Linked DNA regions of Arabidopsis thaliana. The protein of the gene in region 4 interacts with the protein of the main gene of each other region in a pairwise test. Each region holds a gene or a part of one and is shown on either strand. Other genes may lie near its edges. The genes, in order: AT1G06890, AT4G32600, AT1G71940 and HHP1.

What was found.
Region 1: the proteins of HHP1 (region 4) and AT1G06890 interact in a protein complementation assay, tested with the Arabidopsis thaliana proteins (one large-scale study listed by BioGRID).
Region 2: the proteins of HHP1 (region 4) and AT4G32600 interact in a protein complementation assay, tested with the Arabidopsis thaliana proteins (one large-scale study listed by BioGRID).
Region 3: the proteins of HHP1 (region 4) and AT1G71940 interact in a protein complementation assay, tested with the Arabidopsis thaliana proteins (one large-scale study listed by BioGRID).

The regions. Positions count from the first base shown.
Region 1 is NC_003070.9:2,110,769-2,116,454, forward strand, and holds AT1G06890 (nodulin MtN21 /EamA-like transporter family protein), read right to left. Parts: upstream 3,919-5,686; 5' UTR 3,668-3,918; intron 3,667-3,667; exon of another isoform or gene 3,456-3,666; 5' UTR 3,406-3,455; intron 3,322-3,405; 5' UTR 3,271-3,321; coding exon 3,150-3,270; intron 2,654-3,149; coding exon 2,469-2,653; intron 2,371-2,468; coding exon 2,303-2,370; intron 2,071-2,302; coding exon 1,938-2,070; intron 1,832-1,937; coding exon 1,670-1,831; intron 1,569-1,669; coding exon 1,296-1,568; intron 1,092-1,295; coding exon 960-1,091; 3' UTR 838-959; coding exon of another isoform or gene 817-837; 3' UTR 555-816; downstream 1-554. Other genes in the region: AT1G06900 (Insulinase (Peptidase family M16) family protein), read right to left, coding at 4,387-4,630, 4,753-4,874, 4,962-5,115, 5,206-5,309, 5,425-5,628. UniProt on the Arabidopsis thaliana protein: Nucleotide-sugar transporter that transports UDP-xylose and UMP in a strict counter-exchange mode.
Region 2 is NC_003075.7:15,721,544-15,726,695, reverse strand, and holds AT4G32600 (C3H4 type zinc finger protein), read right to left. Parts: upstream 3,352-5,152; 5' UTR 3,022-3,351; exon of another isoform or gene 2,886-3,021; intron 2,777-2,885; exon of another isoform or gene 2,739-2,776; 5' UTR 2,687-2,738; coding exon 2,019-2,686; intron 1,823-2,018; coding exon 1,697-1,822; intron 1,604-1,696; coding exon 1,315-1,603; intron 1,238-1,314; coding exon 959-1,237; 3' UTR 555-958; downstream 1-554. Other genes in the region: AT4G32605 (Mitochondrial glycoprotein family protein), read left to right, coding at 84-267; AT4G32590 (2Fe-2S ferredoxin-like superfamily protein), read right to left, coding at 3,915-3,971, 4,088-4,150, 4,396-4,458, 4,627-4,680, 4,889-5,002, 5,088-5,152.
Region 3 is NC_003070.9:27,076,573-27,080,768, reverse strand, and holds AT1G71940 (SNARE associated Golgi protein family), read right to left. Parts: upstream 2,246-4,196; 5' UTR 1,989-2,245; coding exon 1,744-1,988; intron 1,621-1,743; coding exon 1,350-1,620; intron 1,264-1,349; coding exon 1,093-1,263; intron 953-1,092; coding exon 894-952; coding exon of another isoform or gene 821-893; coding exon 693-820; exon of another isoform or gene 625-692; coding exon 578-624; 3' UTR 521-577; downstream 1-520. Other genes in the region: AT1G71950 (Proteinase inhibitor, propeptide), read left to right, coding at 231-316; VND7 (vascular related NAC-domain protein 7), read right to left, coding at 2,940-3,476, 3,712-3,983.
Region 4 is NC_003076.8:6,840,303-6,844,651, forward strand, and holds HHP1 (heptahelical transmembrane protein1), read right to left. Parts: upstream 2,645-4,349; 5' UTR 2,355-2,644; coding exon 2,053-2,354; intron 1,972-2,052; coding exon 1,896-1,971; intron 1,344-1,895; coding exon 723-1,343; 3' UTR 531-722; downstream 1-530. UniProt on the Arabidopsis thaliana protein: May act as a negative regulator of abscisic acid (ABA)-mediated osmotic stress signaling and function in cross-talk between cold and osmotic signaling.

The DNA.
Region 1 (5,686 bases), on a different chromosome or scaffold from region 4:
GGAATGCACTGGGAAATCCATATAAAAAGAACAAGAAAATTGATATTTTTGCTTTGATTTTTTTTGATGTGTTGAAACCTAAATGCATCCAGTGTAATTGGCAGTAGCTGTCAAACATAAAAGGGTAAACTTTCTTTTTTGAGTATTTAATGTGAAGAATCCTGTAAACGTTCTGTTCTCAAGCTCTTGAACATAATTGGTTCTGTGGAATTTGCAGGCTATTTTGGCAGATACAAGATATTAATAGTTTGTATAAACTTAAAATGCAATATTTCAAAAATAAAAATTAAAAATAGAGCTCAGAGTAGGCGAAATCATCTGATATTCAGGAGAATGCATTGGACCCAACCAATACTAAAGCCAATTTCATCACAGCTCATGCACCAGCCGGGAATCGAACCCGGGTCTGTACCGTGGCAGGGTACTATTCTACCACTAGACCACTGGTGCTTTGTTGAACCTTACGCTATGTTTTAAAATAAATACCAGAAACCTTTTTTTTTACTCTCATCAAAATGGTTTGGTCAAGATATGGAATAACTGAATAAGAATTGGGACAAGTTGGTAAGAAAGCTAGAATGAGTTGTGTAGATTCATAGAAAAGAGTCTAAAAATCAAATATATGTTTTCAGTGTTGATGAATATAGCCACAGCCTTTTGAATACAGAGTTGTAATACTAAATCCAAAAAAAAAAAAAAAAAAAAAAGAGAGCTGCTGTGTATAATAAAATGGATCATCAAAGCTGTTCCCTTTTCTTCCCCTCACTCTCTACTTTCTTCTTTTTTTCCATATGGTGTGGAAGGTTTGTTGATTTTTCAGTCTCCCCTACTTCTCTGCTATGCATATTTAAAAAGGGAACAAAAAAAAAAAAAAAGAGAAATTAAAAAGTTTGTGTTTTTTTGGGGACAATACAAAGAGAGTTTGATATTATATAAAAAAATAGCGATGATCAAAGCTTTTAGGCTTGAAAATCTTTATTTGAGTTCCATACAGGAGCCACCGTCTTTTGCTGCACTCCCCCGCCGCCATCTGATAACACTCCGCTTCCATTTTCAGCTGCTATTAGCGGATCCTTCTCGCTCTCTTTCATCTGACAAACCCGAGTAAACCAAATTAAGCAATATAACAAGTCAGTATATATAGATAGACCTGAAAAAAGCCTATGATACTGATGCTTTTTTATAGCAATCTAATTGCAAAATCAATGGTACTATAAAAAGGAATATGATTTGAGGGACTCATCTAATTACCAACAGAAATATATTAGAGGGAACAGAGAGATGAAGAAATATACCTGAGGCAACTGAGTTGAGGTTTCACTTGCCTTCTGCTGAGTCTCAATCGAGCAGTAATAGGAATAAACAACCATTCCAATCACAGCCACTAGAATACCGAGAATGTTGCGCCAGTCGAATGGGTCTCGCAGCAACACATAGCCAAATGCTAGAACCAGGCATGTTTTGAGATGTCCTAGAACCTGATATGTGACAGGAGATGTTTTTCCAATGACAAGAAATGTGCTGAAGTTTACAGAGACTGATATGAGGCAAGACAGGACGATGAAGAACTGCAATCAACAAAGAAGCACTCGTTAATATGCAGGATCGACATGGAAGCAAGAAGATCAGTTAATAAGTTTGGTAGAATCCCCGGGAAATTGAGTCTCACCACTACTTGAGAAGTGTACTTGAAAGCAAACACGTTCTGATTGGTTAGGAGCCCATCTAAAAATGGCCCAGTGACGAAAAGAGTGATTGCTTGATATGGGCAAGACTGATACAGAAGCTGCGTGGATGAAACTTTGAACTTCTTCTGGATGGTATTTGTCATCTGTGTACAATTGGTTAAGATAACAGCATCGAATTGGTTTAAGACAAGATATATAGAAAGGTGAAAGAATAAAGCAATGAGAAACCAAAGGCTAGGCATAGGATACAATTTGAGCAACACAAGTTGTGACAACAGCCAGCAGCGACAAGACAGAACCCAGCATATTAAGTTGAAGATCTGTGACGGTTGCAATTCCAACACCAAGGAGAAGGATGGTTAATGAAAACTGGATTTTTCGACTGCAAAGAAAAAAAATAAGGGTGTCATTAACTAGGCCCTTGACCACAAACTAGCGAGAGACATAACGCTATCACTAAGTTGCTCAACTATTACACAGTATATAAAATTAGAACTTTGGATTAAGTCAACCAGAAATGCATGACCATAAGAAAAATATAGATGTCATGTAAAACAGCTTCCTCCAAATCAATAATTATTCACGTGTTAATGGAAGAGAATTTGAGTGCTAACCTGAACTTTTTCCTGAAGAAGAGGGTCTCCAAGAGAACAGTGCAGGGGATGATAGCTAGTTTAGTCATCTATTATCAACGGAACAGAAGATGGGTTAGAAATTAGAACAACACTAGTTAAAAATGGATATCACATCATGCAGTAACTGAAATGGAAAAAGCTATACCTGGTAAAAACCGACAGAATTAAAGCCCAGGCTGAGGTTCAATAGTCCTATGGATATCCCATTCAATATGCCAAATCCCATCACAGCTCGTGGATCAAAAGGCTTGTGTTCGAACATCTTCATCCATAATGCCACATGAAGGGAACAAAATGTGACCAAAAGATGCCAACTTGTCAAAGTAGTCGCTGTACATACAAAATAACAAGAGTAAGAACAGATAGCTTATGAGATCAAAATTGCATAAGATGACATAAAAGCTGTTATGGCAACACAGACATCAAAATGGGATAAAACAGTGTCTTGCAAGTATAATAATACTACATAAGAATCAATGGTGTATCCTAGGAAAGAATATTGAGTCATACAGAAAAGAAGAGGAGCACCTAAATTCTAAAGCGATAAGAAACAATCTTAAACATATACAATCATGAAGGCAATTCTCGTTTATGTACCATAAGGGACCTAAAATATAACCAACAGACAATTCAGAACATAGTATGAAGTAAAATGATCAACAATCTATTCCTCAATTTCATCAAATAAGAGAAGGCTCGAAACGAATCGCGCAGAGTAAGCATTAGTATACAAACACAAGAATAGATCCAGAGGAAACAATATCAGCAGCGCAACATGGATAATCAAAGGAGCCTGTAACAGTGAAGGAAGAATTGAAAAGGTTACCGAATGTGAAGCCAAGGGTGCTAATAAGCGCTTTGTTACAGATCACAATCGAGACAGATGACACAACGGACAAACTCAAAGCGCCGATTGTTCCCAACTGGAACTTCTGGCCCTCGCTCATCTTCGCTCTCCTAATTTATCTCTCGCTTCTTCAATCACGATCTACGATGATCTAATCCACCAAAAATTATACAAGGAATGATAACGGTAGACAGTAAAACGTGAAGAAAACAAGAGCGATCTGGAGAAAACGAACCTCATTCGTGCATAACGTAAACGTAAATGCGAAGCTTAAGGCAGCTCGAGCTGAAGCAAAATGGAGAAAATAGAAACTCGTTAGATAAAAGAGTGGGAGAACGAAGGAGATTTATTGAAAGCCAGAAGCCATAAACCCTAGATCTGCCGTTATGAGACAGAGATCAAAGAAATCAGTTGAAGGCAAAATTCAAGAGACGCGAAATGAAACAAGGAGAACATAAGGAAGGAGAAAGAGGGAAGAGAGAGAGAGAGAGACTCACAGGAGAATTGGAGAACCAGAGAGAATTCAAAACTTCGACGGAGGAGAAGAGATTCAGATTAAGCCTATTTTCTGCAATTTTTGATGGTCTTCACTCACCACCGTACAGAGAAAAATAGTGAGAGAGAGGAAGAAGAAAGATAGTTTTCGCTTTCTACGTTTGATAGGCCCTACCAGAGAGAAATTAACCGCGGGATATAATCGTAATTATCAAACAAGCTATTCATGATCCACGTTCACATTTGATTTTTTACCGTTGGTTATTTATGTAAGACATTCACTGTACAATCAAAGGTCATTTTATACTTTCTTTTCATTTATTGTTCCAGTGGACATATACCTGTCATTAAGGAGAAAATTGTTCCAAATGGGATTTTTCTTAGTGAGAGTTTCGATGGTTATTTGAAGTAAGTTTTTATCGATTGATAACTTTTTTTTTCTGTCTGTTTTTTAGTTTTGCTGCTTCTTTTTGGGTAAATGAAATCTATACATTGTATAAGATAATGCTTTTCTAATCAATAAATATCAAATTATCCACCAGATAAAAATAATAATTTAAAAAGCGTATTCTCAAATCGTAACAAAAAGGGATATTTTTGGTGTTTGTCACCCAAAAGTATAACCTATCCAATGAGGGTATGAAGAAAATTGAGTGAATCAAAATATAAAAGATAAAAAAAAGGGAAGACGAAGCAAAACTCTTTTGTATGTTTCTTCTCATTAGCAAAGGCTGGGGTAAAACTTAGAAGTTGACTTGAAAGCCACTGCGTCTGCGATGACCTGCACCGCCTTTTGATCTGTTTGAGTTTCTTTCATATTGGTATCGCATCCCCAAACCCTTACCGCAAGCCTACGACATTTGGGTGATGATTCTCTGAAATAGGTTTTGTACCAACTGATCACATCTTTCTTCTGTATACTTCTTAGTTCTTCTGCTTCTTTGTGGGAGAAATCAAACATGTACCTGTGAGAGAGTTAACTCCATTTTCATTCGCCAGTGACCGTTGTGGATATGGATCCAAGTAAATCATTGAAAGTTCTATAGATACTACAGGTCACATAACTTCAAACCCTTGAGATCCTTACCTTTTGTCAACAATCTGACTCCATAAGTCATTTGTCTCGGACAAGAGAGAGGGATCCTTTTCCAGCAATCTAGCAATCATACCACTTCGGTAATCTTCATAGGATTCATCATCCAGTTGTTCCTGCAATTACAGTCCGATTAACATATGTGGAGCGAGGTAAAGATTTAACAAAAAAAATCAATATATTCTTTTTGATTACAGACTTACCAGAAGCCCTTCGATATCTTTTATGAAATTGTCAACTCTCCCCAGCAAATGAACTGGACCGTACTTAGAAGATTGAACACAGAAACAGAAACCGTGCACACGATACGTTAAGCGAGGGCCACACTCGACAACATAACCAAGCTGCTCCTTTGTCCTATATCCAAAATATGTATATATATGTGTGACTATACATGAATACAATTTTGATCTATTAAAAAAACTAGGTAAACATGTGATGACTAACCTCAACTGATTGAACAATGGCTCTTCTATGATTTCATGAAAGAGATCCAGCACAGCTTTCGTTCTCGTTGATTGAGCTTCTTCAGGCTCGATTTGATAGTAAAGCTGCAAATCAGATGCAGGTTAAAATTCAAAACCATGATTATACCCGAGGAAAGTACAATGTTTTCAACTCTTCTTGGCTGACTCTTATCACAAGAAAATACTGTTTCCTTTTTACCTCGACTACTGAGTTTGTTTCAGATTTGTTCTTCACATTGACATCTCTCACAAGTTTGGCACCCATAGGGAAACATGTTATCTGTTCACCATGTCTACATTTGCTTGGGAGTGGTTCAACCGTCAAACTGTCTTTGAAAATGTTTGATATGTTCACTGCTTCGTCTTCGGACAAATTACCATGACATAGAGCCTCAATAAATATCTGAAAACATAACAGAGGTATTACATGACCTTTGCCCAATTTAAACAAAACCAGAGAA
Region 2 (5,152 bases), on a different chromosome or scaffold from region 4:
TCTGTTCTAAAGATAATGCGTAACTTACAATTGATAGAAAATTCACTCGATTGGCAAGTAAGTGTTTCTATTTGTTTTGACAGAGAGCTCGATGAGAAGATGAGAGATGTATTCCATGGATTCCTAGAGGAACGAGGTGTGAACGAGAGTCTCTTCCCCTTTCTTCAGGCATGGCTCTATGTAAAGGATCACCGTAACCTACTGCGATGGTTCAAATCAGTTGGCACGTTTGTTCATGAAAACCCATCTGCAGAAAACACCGCCTAGAAGGACGTGTCTTTTCGGTCTCTGGATCGGTTTCTGCGGTTAATTTTTTTAGTATGGCACTATACCGCTTTTAAATGTTTCAGGAACTGAATCACTTTTATTTTCAAACCATTTCAAAACATATGCATCCGAGATTAATGTTAAGAAAAAGTTCTCTATTCGACTGTGTGAGCTCTCTCTACTAAAGGCAAAACTATTATGATCTTTATGCTTCTTGTAAGTTACCGGTTCTCACACTAATTTTACCGAGCCAACGAGTCAGTGTCTAGTAATTCAAAAACTAAGATAACAAAATCGTTGAAGCCATTAAAAGTTTTGTGGTCCAGTATAAAGGTATAAATATTTTATTTGGTTTATTCTAATTTTTCGCAGAGAGACCATGAATGAGGCACTTTAGCTGCACAAGGTCTCGAAAGATCCCTGGCTCTCGTATAGAGGTGGTACTCGTGACAAATTCAGAGAATAAATAAAAACAAGTATTTGGAACACGCTCAAACTCAATCACCGATTCTCGAACTCTTCTACACTCAAGAGGTTCCAATTCACAACGGCAAAAAGCATTTACAGAACAGGATCTTCGCCGTGTCTTTCTTCACCTTCTTAGCAATGAGAAGCAAACCCCATTTTGTGTAGGAACATCGCCAAACGGCTAATTTGCCGTTTTCTCGGACATAGAGCAAATCTCGAAGATCTAGATAACATTATTGGCCAAACCATTCTCAACTCTAAGTTCACTCCGTTGTTGTTGTTGCTGTTGTTGATGGTTATCGTTTTCCCCAGAAGAGAGCGAGGTTAAGATCCCTTGGCTAGTCAAATCAGAGTTCTTCTCCCCAACTTCGCTCTTGCATAGAGGGCAAGAGGCATTGATCTTCAGCCATTTGTCAACGCACTCTTTGTGGAAGAAATGTGAGCATGGAAGCTCTCTTAACTCCTCGTTATTCGCATATTTCGCTAAGCAAATGCAACAGACCTGCAAATATTTTTATATTCAGCAACTTGATTGTATCTGTGTGTTTATGTGTAAATTCAAAGTGTAAGGAAACTCACTGCGTCCTCTCCTGAAATAGCTCGTTCGTTATCTGTTCCAGCCGCCACAACTCCACCTTCGCTAGTACTTGAACCATTGTCATCGCCATTACTTCTGCTTTTCTTCAACTTAAATTTATGAGTCGGCAACGCATTAATCGACTCAGGTGTGGCACCTCGAGGTTGCGTTAAATCTTCTCTATATCCGAGAATTGAGATTATGCAAGGCAAGCAGCAACATATTGTTGTACAGAGGATGAAGGGCATCGCGTAGCCAATACAGCTAAAGGTAAGAAACACTAAACATAACCTAGAACATACAAGAGAACAAAAATATGGGTCAGTCTTGGAAAATGCAGTCTGATGTTTGAGTCTAATTGCTGTATATCTAAAAGAATATCACCTGTACAAGTTAGGAGCCTCGGCAGCAGATGAATGCCCTCCAAATATCCATACATTACCTACCACAAACCACACCGCAAAGAAGCAATCCAGAGCCATTTTGAAGTATTCCACGATAACTTTAAGTCTGGAAGCCAAAATCAACGACCAAAATCATACTGACTCAATTAGATTGCAGATATTTTCAACACAAAGAAAAAGTTTAGAACAAAAGAGACATCTAAACTCTCAATTCTCAAAAATAAGAAAAGCTTTGAGAGAAAACGTAATTCAAAATCCAAACTTTCAGTTGAAACAGATCATCTAAGAACATGTGTGTTTACCTGGCAGCACTTATAAACCCAGGATATCTACTACCACGAGAAGAGGTGGTATTGGTCTGTCGACCATCTGCTTCGGATGTCCTGGATATCGAGAAGGCGAATGGTCCTGCTGCAACATTAAGATTAGGACGGTGCTGACCAGAATCCTGTTCAGAAGCCTGATTCGAATGATAATATCTCCAGTACAAAAGCGGGAGTGTAGCAACGCATCCACACGCATAACCAACAATCCAAGTGAACAAAGGAGCACGAGGATGCTCATGTTTTGACAAAGACAAAACGACAATAGCTGCAATGATCTGACCAACAGTGAGGAATAGTTCAATAGAAATCCATAAGCCAGAATTCAAAGGACTTCTTCTACGACGGACACTTCTAGGATTTGATCGCATAGAAGAAGAAGAAGAAGCTGTAGCTGTAGCTGGCTGAGGAGCAGCCATGGGAGAAACAGTAGAAGGTCTCTCTTCCTCATGTTGTAAAGGTTCCAAAACATTTGAGATTCTATCATGAGAAGATGATGATGATGCAATGGCGGCATTTCTTGGAATGTCAATGATGATGTGCTCATTTCTGCTTAGATTATTCTCTGGTGATCTTTCCATGAATCTAGAAAAAGTATCAGCTTGATTTGTAATACGATGTTGTTGTTTCAGAAGAGAAACACCCATCTAGGTATTGTCCACTTTGCGCATACCACACCATGGAGCTTAACCAAAGGTCCTGCAAATCCACAAAGAAAGCTTAAACCCTCAAATGACCTAAAACAACCACGAAAAATCATCAATTTATGTCTGTTTCAAGATTTTGACTCATCAGAATCGACCAATCCAAGCTTAATCATACATGAATTAAAGGAAAGAAACTCACCCAGATTATACCATAAAACTAGGGTAAAATCAAAGAAAAATCGTAAAAGGGCAAAGATTTATCAGAAGAACAGAAGCATATAATTGGCGCCTGGGATTAATCTCAGAATAAAATCAAGCAATTAGGGGAAACAAACCTTCTTCAATGGGGGTGAAATTTGTTTCTTTTCTCGCTGGTCGCAAGGTGTAAAATTGGAGAGCGCCGCAGAAGAAGAAGAAGAAAACCCAGAAACCAAGACAACGAATCAAATTAAGAAGAGTCAACTTTTTCAACAATCGAAATCCTTTGCTGTTGTTGATCGTGTAGCTTCTTCAAATGTATTTTGCGATTATTTTAGATTTTTTTTTTTGTGTTCACCGATCAACCAAGGGGAGATTAAAAAAAAAAAATTATGGATATAAAATTCGGAGCCAAACAGCAATCACACAAAAACTAGTATTATATATAAATAAATGTACAAAGAAAAATTCAGATAGTGATGCTTTCTTTGGCTCCTTCCTCTTTATATTTTCCCTCAACAAGAAAAAAGTAAAAAGTAAAAATGAGAAGATATTGCTTTTTGACTTTACCCCTGTTTTACGGGGCGGCGCGTAATCTAATTAGATGTTCTGAAAGTTGTCTCTTCGGTGACATTCGATAAATAAAGTGATCTGAAAGTTGTCAAAGAAACGGTTCGAATACTAAACCAAGTTCTTATTTTTTAGAAACACGTTTTCAAAGCTTAAGAAACAAATGCCATTTTCAGCTCAAAAAGGTAAAACATGCTACTGATTTTCAGATCATCATAAAAACACTTCCTACCGAATCTTCTGACCAGCTTCACTCCTACCGTATCTTTAAGCAAATTTTAAACATTTCAATCATGCGAGCTAGTTGATAGTTTCTCTCTTAAATTTCACTATCATGGCACCACATATCCAAGAACTAAAGAAAAATACGTCTAGACAAACGAATCTTCCATTAATACGAGACAACATTCATACAGAGATGTGTTATATACACATAAATCTGAGACAAATAACCTTTACATTAATTCACTTCTTCCACTGTGGAATCCGCTGCACGACAACCTATATCCAAAGCCGACTTTTCTCAATGAGAAAGATCATAAAAAGGAAAAATAAACTCTTATGATCCCAAATAATGGGCACATTAGCGTTTGCAATTTGCATATGCATAAATTGGTGTATGAAAGTAGGTACCTTTCCTGAGTTTTCTTTGTTCCCTACTATTGTTTGACATGCGAGTCTCCAAGATTCCGGCTTCTGCACAATAGTAACAAAACCCTTAAGATTTAAACAGCCAAGGCTCTTATTTTATCCAAAATTTGCATATCTAAGAAAAGTTACTTAGTAACCATATCAGACAACAAAACATATATTCACATTTAACCAGAAACAATGCTCAACATTTCATTCATCTTGTTAGTGCACATACCCATTCCAAACACTAGCAATGAGAAACTTGTGAATCTAACAATAATATAGAGAGGAGTGATCAAATAACTAGCCTTTTTCAGGTACCGGTTTTCTGTATCTGTTCTCTCATTCAGAAGATCTCTGCCATCGAGTATCTGCACACAAGAAGACCAAATGTGTATTTTTTTGCTTTGAGTTACTGGTCATCATAAGAAGACCAAACACAAATCTATTTTCCTCCATTGATATCCATGAATGCTAGAACAATCATAGCTCATAAATTCATAATCAGAATCTAATTAACATTGTATGAAGTCACTTGCCTCCACAATGCAAGTTCCACAGCTTCCTCCACCACCACAGTTCATCACTTTCCCCTAATCATCACAAATTGACCAAAATCCAAAGTTTACATAAGCCTTCAACAAACCATCTCCTCACATCAAAATCTAGAACTAAATATTTTCATTGTCTACTAAATTATTCCAGAAACTAGTTCAAACATCAAATCAATCAATGTATTAAGATTGAGAAAATCTGAAGTTAAATTTCGTAATTAAAGAGAGAGAAATCAACATAACTCACGTAAGCAGCGTAGAGTTCAATTTTGTTATCCTGCATAATGCTTCTGAGAAGCTTATCTCCACTCACAGCCTTTGCTTTATCTACCGGATATGACCCGTCGCTACCCGGCTTCGGCTGCAAAGAAAAAAACGAAAAGTCTCTTCTGAGTTTTGAAACGAATTGTATCAATAATCGACGAGAAAATCGCGCCGAGAGTTACACCGAAGAACTCGAGCTCTATCTCAAGAGGCGTCACTGCAGAAATCCCCTGAGGAGATGATGCTT
Region 3 (4,196 bases), on a different chromosome or scaffold from region 4:
TTTAGTCCAAGTTCATAAACTGTTCCATGATTTGTGATGTTTGAATGTTTCTGTCAGGTTAAGATAGGCGCATGTGAACCTGTAGAAATAGAATCATATAGTCATGAATGCACGATTTTGTGTATGTAGGCTTAGGAAAAACAGGATAAAGTTTTCAACTTGATCAATGTTTTTTTTTTTTGTCTTTGTTCTGTTTTTCTTATATGCTTTTGGGGATTTGGATGTTGCAGAACAACCAGGTGTGATTCAAGTTGTGCCAAGCCAGACTTATCAGCTGCACAAACCTGGTGGTGGTGGTGGTTTCAAGTTGACCTAACTTGACTTTGTGTATTCTCTACTTCTCAACTAAACCTGTTGCTTTACAGAAACTAGTCTGTTGTTGTATTGTTGTGACTTTGAACCAAGTATCTAACTAAAATAATGTTATGAAGTTGCTTTGATTCGAGTTGTTCTGTGTTGTTGAGTAACTGAGTTTTTGTCAATATATTATTCTAAGATAAATGTTTCTTCTAGTTCCAATTTCAGATGGTTAAATTCTGAAAAGAAACGATCATAATAAATCTAGAACCAAAATATTTCATGGTCTCTCGTCTTGTACAAAAAATTGTATTATTTCTGTAATTTCTTCTCAACCTCTACTTGCCAAATAGTAAGAAAATATGACAACAAAAAAACTATCAACGAATCGTTACGACAAGTGACAAGTAAACGAATCAGAAGTTTTGTTCTGTTGTGTCCTCTAAACAAGTTAAGTGTATTCTTGTTCTCTGTATGGCATTGAATGTTAGGCCATGTGTATTGTAAAGATGCTTCTCCCTGGCTATTCAACAATCTTCTTTCTTTTCAGTATCGTTGGAAGAATAGAGATAAACCCGATGAGGAAAAGCACTGACAATGTCTTGAAATCATACAGATCTTTCACCGATTTGAGATCTCCAATAGCAAGGCCAGCCTGCAATAAACAGAACCAGAATTTAAAGCCATGTTCTTCGCACTTTATGTAGATGGCGAAAAGAGATGAAACACAGGAATGTTGAATGATAGCATATCATAAGCGGAAAGATGGTGAAGGATGGAGGTAAAAGAGCTTACTCTGACAGTTATATAAGCTGCAGGAATGAGACCAATCAATGTCGCCAAAAAGAAGACATGGAAAGGTACATCGACTATAGGAGATGCAAGATTGATAAAAAGATTTGGCAGAGTTGGTGTTATCCTCAGAAACAACATATAGTTCAGAAGCTTATCTCTACGCTTACTAATCTGAAAGGTATAAAACCACAACTTAATCAGTACCAAGTCAAGAACTTTCACAAAGATCATTTCATCAACACAACAAAGAGACTTACCTCTGCTTGAAAGAATCTTAATTTGTCAGGCCATAGCCAAGTAATCAACGGCCGACCAATCAATTTCGACAAAAAGAAACACGAGGTAGCTCCTGCTGTTGCATTGAAAACAACCAAGACAACACCTTTGAATACTCCAAAGAGAGCTCCAGCTAATAGTGACATGAAGATAGTCCCTGGAATCATAAAGGTCTGCATAAAAATGTACGTTGCACAATACCCTAAAACAAACTGCGCCGGATACTCATTCGCATAATTTGCTAGATTATCTCTGAAACATCAACAACAAGAAAGATTACAGATTTTGTCAATTCCAATCATGACACCAACACTAATCAGTAAATTCTCCTAATTGGCTACAAAAATTGAGTCGTAAGATTAGAAAGAAAGTTACTTGAGCAAACGGAGATCAGCGAGGCTTCTTGGAAGTTTGAGTTTGCCAAATTCAGCAGCAGGCATGGTCATGTAGATACAACAGAGTCCAGAGGAGAAGACGAGGAAGACACCGAGAGAAACGGCGAGTTCCCAACGGCTAAGAGGGAAGCGATCAAGTTTAGATCTTTTACCCGATGGAGAATCATCATCGTCTGAAATAACACCAAGCTCTTCGTCTCTGGTTAGAATCCGAGTCGGAGCCATCACCGAAGAATGCAACAACAACAAAAGCCAACGATTTCGAGATCGAATCTTTAATTCATATGTGGGATTGGTTTACGGAGAAGAAACCAACAACGATCTGGGATTAGATCTGAGAGATTTTGTAGAGATTTAATTGCATTTTTGATTTCAGTGATGAACCCTAGATGATGCTTAAAGAGATCGATTTCACGATTTTGTTTCTTCAGATTTTAATTAACGTACGAAGAAGAAGAAGAAGAAATTAGAAATTAATTTTTAACGGCAAACGTGTTGGCCTTGTAGATTTTTGACGGTGGCTTTTAAGACCTTCTACGTGGATCAGAAGGTTTTGACTTGGACTTCTTAATTGAAACCTCTTACTCGATGAGAGGGTTTCTCAATTAAATTTATTTTTTAACTCATTTTTTTTATTTATTATTATATGCTCAATATTGATCATGGTCAATTTTTTAAAAAATATGAATAAAAAGTTTTTTGTGTTTATGTTTTTTTTTTGTTTTTTTTCATCACCTTCTTCACATGTAAACATTTGTAGTACATATTAATACGTACATTAATTAATTATATACATGGTGAACATATGATTTCGATTCAAATCGTGCATTTTGGGTTTGAGTTACAAATTTGAGGTTTGATTTGAAATTTTGAAAGTTAGGAGTCTGATCAGAAATTACAAGTTCTCTTAACTAATAGGCCACCACTCAAATAAAAAATTAATGGGGGTAGAATGTATGGATGAGTTACAAATTTGGACAACAGAATAAATGAATAGAAAAACAAAGGGACTAATTTTTAAAAAAAACAAATCCACCTTTGTGAAATTCAACAACAAATTTCTACGTAATAAACACAAACTTCTTTTACAAATAGACAGTTATAAATGTTATTTTCCAGATGGAACAATTAAATCATAGAATACAAATCAATATATAGAAGTGTGTTTTTTTTTAATTACGAGTCAGGGAAGCATCCAAGAGAATGATGAATATTAGCTTCGACCTCATTATAGCTTTGATGCATGGAAGGGAAGCTTGGCGCCGGATTATACGACTGCGTTTCGAACATAAGAATATTAGGGTTATGCGGATGTATGACTTGTGTCTCAAGCAAGGTATCTAGTGTTCTCCAATCCACACAGTTAAAGCTCTTCTCTTCTTCTTGCTCGAAACTCTCGTTCTGATCTTTATTCGTCCCTAAACTAGGCGACAAGCTCGGGCTGTCCAACTGCGGGAGCTCAATGTTGCCATATTGATGCATCGATGAGGATGTATTATTAGGATTGTAGTGGTTATTGCTCATGAGCATTTGATTAAGGTTATGACTTGATGAAGATGCACCGATATGATGACTCGTGTTCATTGTCACTGAAGATGAGTAGTTGTTACTACTTTCGACGTGGTAGAGCTGGTTCTGCCATGGCTCGTACCCTAATGGCCTCTGGTTTGGAATTGGCTTCCTAAATGCTCGACACACCACCCAGCCTTCCTCCTATAGTTCACAAACATATAAAGTTATTTAGATAACAAGTTATTGATTTAGTCCTGTTTTTTTTTTTTTTCTTTTTTTTTAATTTTAAACATTATTGAATCAAATGTCGTCAAACATGTAACATTATTGCTTAGGTTTGATAGACGGAGTATGTATTGTACTATTTATTAGTAGTTTTTGGATGATTGCTTTGATAGTGAATCGCGTATCAGTCAGAGTCTTTCAATGTGTATACCTGAACCGGGGCAAGCTCGGAGTTTTGGAGACGGTATTCGTGCATGATCCAATCGGACTTTCTTCCATTAGGAGCTCGACCCTTGTAGTAGACAAGTGTCTTCCGCATTCCGATGACACTGTTTTTTGATAGTACCGCCTTGTCTCTACCCGTGGCTTTCCAGAACCCAGCCGCAGTGGCTCGGTTGGTCCTAGTCCCGGTAGGGTACTTCCTGTCCTTATGACTAAAGAAGTACCACTCGTTTTGCTCTTCATACCCTAGTTTACACCTCGCTGCAAATGTAAAACTAAATATTAATGTCATAAATTTCTTACATTACAAAAGGTCAAAATATTAGAAATTTTATGTTTCTTTAAAAAAAAAAGAGAATATTGAAAATTATGTAGTAAAGTAATTTCTAAATGTGATATGATTATACTTTTCAACCGGTTTAATTTCAAAAGAAGTATTATGATTTATGATTGTACTATACATCTCTTAATTTC
Region 4 (4,349 bases):
ATTCGAAAAGAGTTTGGGTCCGTTCACGCATTATCGATCAAGAGTCTAGTTACAGAGTGAAGCTTGGTCTTTAATTATGTTTATGTCTGATCAATCCTTGTCTTGCATCTAATTAACACCTGTATAACCTAGTAACACATATATTTATATCAAATCAAAAAGAACAAAAAAACTTTGAAGCAATAATAAGAGGACTCGGCTATGAAGAATGAAAAAGGAAGCGGAGACTTTGATGAACATTTGATGGTGCATATATACATATTAATTCTCTTGTGGTTAGGGAATCCTGACACTAAGCTAAGTGCGCATGTAGATAGATGAAAGAACCATCAACCATGCATGAAGTCCATCCTTTGCATCATTGGTTTTTTTTTTTTTTTATAAAACAAATCATTGGTTGTTTCAACCGTCAATTTTTGCTTTTGTGTTTACATCAATTTTTTTTTATGTCTTTTCAATTCTGTTTGCTTTCATGATATAAAGCAAACAAACAATTGAAGTCATCATATTCAAAAACGAAACTATTCAGTGGCAAATATTTGATTTACCATTAACTTCTCATAGAGAAAAAGACTTCTGAAAATCATGCATATTCAACAAACATAACAATTAACACAAGTTGAATTACAATTCAATTTAAAACAAATGGGTTATTACAATTTTGTTCACCACGATACAACAAATTAATAATATTATATTTAAAAGAATTACAAATATATGGTTTAACAACCAACGTGGTCACGCCAGTCCAAGAACAAGAGAGCAGCTGCATAGTGAGACAAAGCACCCAACAAAACGAACACATGGAAGATCTGATGACTATGTCCCACACGATCAAACCATCCCGGTTTAAGCCTTTCTGGCACTCTCCCTACGTAGAATCCTGTTCCAACAAGATAGAACACTGCCATAAGCAACTCGTACACGAGCGTCACGTTCCTTTGCGGGTTTCCCCAATTGACCACTAGCGCGTGGGCAGCTGGGACAATCCCAAACAGCCCCATGGAGGCAAAGAGCAAAGCGCGGAAAGCTCGGTACTTGGGAGCGGAAAGTGATGGGGTGAAAAGTGTGATGATTGTGAAGATTCCCATGGATGTGATGCCTGCGAGGTAGATGAAGTACCACCGAGGAGTGCACTGGAAGATGTAGAAGATTGGTGGGAAGAAGGAAGTGATGATCATGGCGGTGATACCGGCATAGTCTATTCGGAGAAGGAAGACATTAAGCTCTTTTGAGTGGCAACAGAAGAGGTGACAAATGCTGCTTGCGAGTAGGCAGAACATTGAGCCTCCTAAGAAAACGAAGAAGGGCCATCTTGTTACATTCCCTGGACTCTTTGCATCCTACAATCATCAACATTGATACCACCATTAGCTTTACATTTTTATTGACTAGTTTGAGATACTAAAAAAACATATACTAGATATATGATCAAATAACATATTTGAGTTGATTTCTAATCTAGTTAAGAAATACATTTTCTTCAGTTGTTTAGATATGTGATTAAATAATAGATTTGAGCTGATATATAATCCTTAAAAGAATTACATTTTATTGAGTTGTTTAGAATATACTACAGAAAACAAATTATAGTCAATGTAATATTGTCAAAGATTTTATTCATCATTTCGATTCATGTCTATATATCTTTGATATCTTATTCAAAATCATCATAACAAAATCCAGGTATAGCAACGAACAATTCATTAGAAAATTAAGATAAGTTAATCAAAACCAATTAGGTATATATCTAATTACTTGACACATTCACTTGACTAATTTGAAGTTAATATAGTGGTTGCATGTGGATCTCGAGGGAATAAATTGAAATTCGGGCTAAACTTGCGATTATTAAACAAAAACAAAAATAAACGTGTTGATTAAAGGACACTTACCACGGGGAAGAATCCGTCGTGATGAATAATATTGGCGACGGTTAGTGCCACAAAGAAGATAAAACCAATCAAATGTCTGTCCAAAAAAAAAAAACTATTAGAAAAAAAAATCGAAGAAAAAATAATTGAAACTAGAAGTAAAATTTGGTGTACTTACGTCCAAACATTGAGGGACTCATTGTGGAAACTAAATACGCTGAAGAAAGCATCTCTAATGGACCAATCAGCTCTGTAATAATTCAATATGTATTCGTTGTCTTTCATGTACTCCGGTAGCTCACAATACGACATTAATTCACGTCGTTTCATTGTCTTTTGTTGCGTTTTTCTCTTCTTCCTTCTCTTGGTACCACTACTCTCATCTCCACCGTGATCATCTCCAGGCACGATCTTGCTTTTGCAGTTGCCGTTGCCGCATGAAACTGTTTCTGCTTCGTCGTTATGACCATTTTGGTCCATAAGAGCTCTCGAGTATCGATTCTTGAGACAAGAATACTCAATCTTGATCTCAAGAGAAGATGGTGAGAGAGAAGATCTGAGAGGAGAGGAAAATATATAATGAAGAAAGATTATTATTATTATTATAGTTGAAGTAACAAGTATTAAAATGTGAATTTAAGTTTGAGGGGAGAGAGAGAGAGAGAAGAAACAAGGAAGATGTGAAATGTAAGGAGACAGCTGCAACATTTAAAGACGAAACTTTAGTATGCAGGTAGAAGTTGGTGTCGTGTTTTCATCTTTTAGTTGTTAGTTAGGTTATCAATAAATTCTTCTTTTTTGATTATTATTATTTCATTTCCCTTTCTCTTACGTTTGTTTTTATTGTATTTTTTTTTAACAAGAAAAGTGATTCAGTTTTACACTACTTTTTGAGATATGGAAAATCTTTTGAATACGAGAAGAGTAAATTTAGGCGATTTTAAGACCGACCGACTCAAAATTCACTACCGGCTTGTACCTCTTTTACATGATTGATGCCTTGTACCCACCGGATCGTTTGTATTTATAAGAAAGATATAAGATATGTGATGCAAACAAAATAGTACTCTTGATGTAAAAATAAAAAATAAGGACTCATTTAGACTTTTACTATGCTTCAATCAACATTAAATTCTGTGTGAAATTAAGATTGGTGAGGGGTTTACTTTACTTGAAATAGACGAGTAATTTTAGAAAATTTGCATTTTTGAGTTCTTATGTGTAATTCTAAGTAATTTTTTTAACAGAAGAAGTTAGGATAACAACAGAATTTAATGTAGTTATGAGTTATGAAGTGATTGTGGTAAAGAAGTGTCAAAGCTCTTTCCATCAAGTGGATGACAACAAAAATAATGATACTAAAAACAAGCATGCAAACATTTCAAGGATTCCTTTTTTTAAAAGAGTAGACCACAAAAGCCAAAATCATGAAAATTTCTATTTTTTTCTTGTGAAATGTTGCAAAAAACATTAGTGTCATTTTCAATGAGTTACCACTTGAAAAGGACTTGACCTTTAAATGCCTCTAGCAATATAGAACTTCAAGTTAATTAATTAGGCAGATGACTAAACTTTAGAACAAATTTATAATTTATTTGGAAATCAACTAAAAAAGGATGTTAAAAATTAGACGAAAATATCTTCATACAAGGAATTATAAACGTTTTGTTGGCAAAAAAAAAGGGAATTATAAACGTTTGTGACATGCATTCATGTAATACATGTTATTATGCTGTTATTATGAAGGAGTTAGTGAGTAAAGATCTTGACGCCACTACAAGGTTTGTACTTCGGTATGTGTTTCAAAACACGATACATTCTATATGGAGAGAAAGAAATGAGAGGAGATATGGACAGACGCCATCGAGGACGAAGAAGATAATCAGGCTGATAGACAAAAACATAAGGAATGGATTAAGCACGTTGAGGGTAAGATGTGAAGAGAAGTACGCAAGAGGAATCCAAGTGTGGTTTACTTTTAGGCAAGAACAAAATCAAAGATAAATAAGATATACTTTTGATCTATTTTTAAGAAAAGTTTGCATTTCTGTATATAAACAGTTTATTTTTCTTTGAATATAATTTAACACTAAATTCAAAAAAAAAAATATGTTGTTATTATGTAGATAGTAATTAACATCTCGGCGTCCCATAGCCATACCTTTATTTTTTCTCTTACAAAATTCAGTTTTGTTATCTAAAATTAAAGCTGATAAAATGGCCATAGTTGTAGCTTTCTGGTCTTTCAAGATTTGGGTTGGCTTAGGCTTTTTGGGAAAACATTAACCAAAGAGGTCACTCCTGAAACACCCCCAAGGAATCGCAATCATATACGCAAACTCCATATACGTGTGTTTAAGTTTCTTGGGAAAATAGTTTATTACTAATTCATAACTTAAGATTTTGTTAAATATGGTTGAAGAAGAAAATGACTTTATCTTCTCGACATCTTTTGTAATCTTTACTTTTGGATAT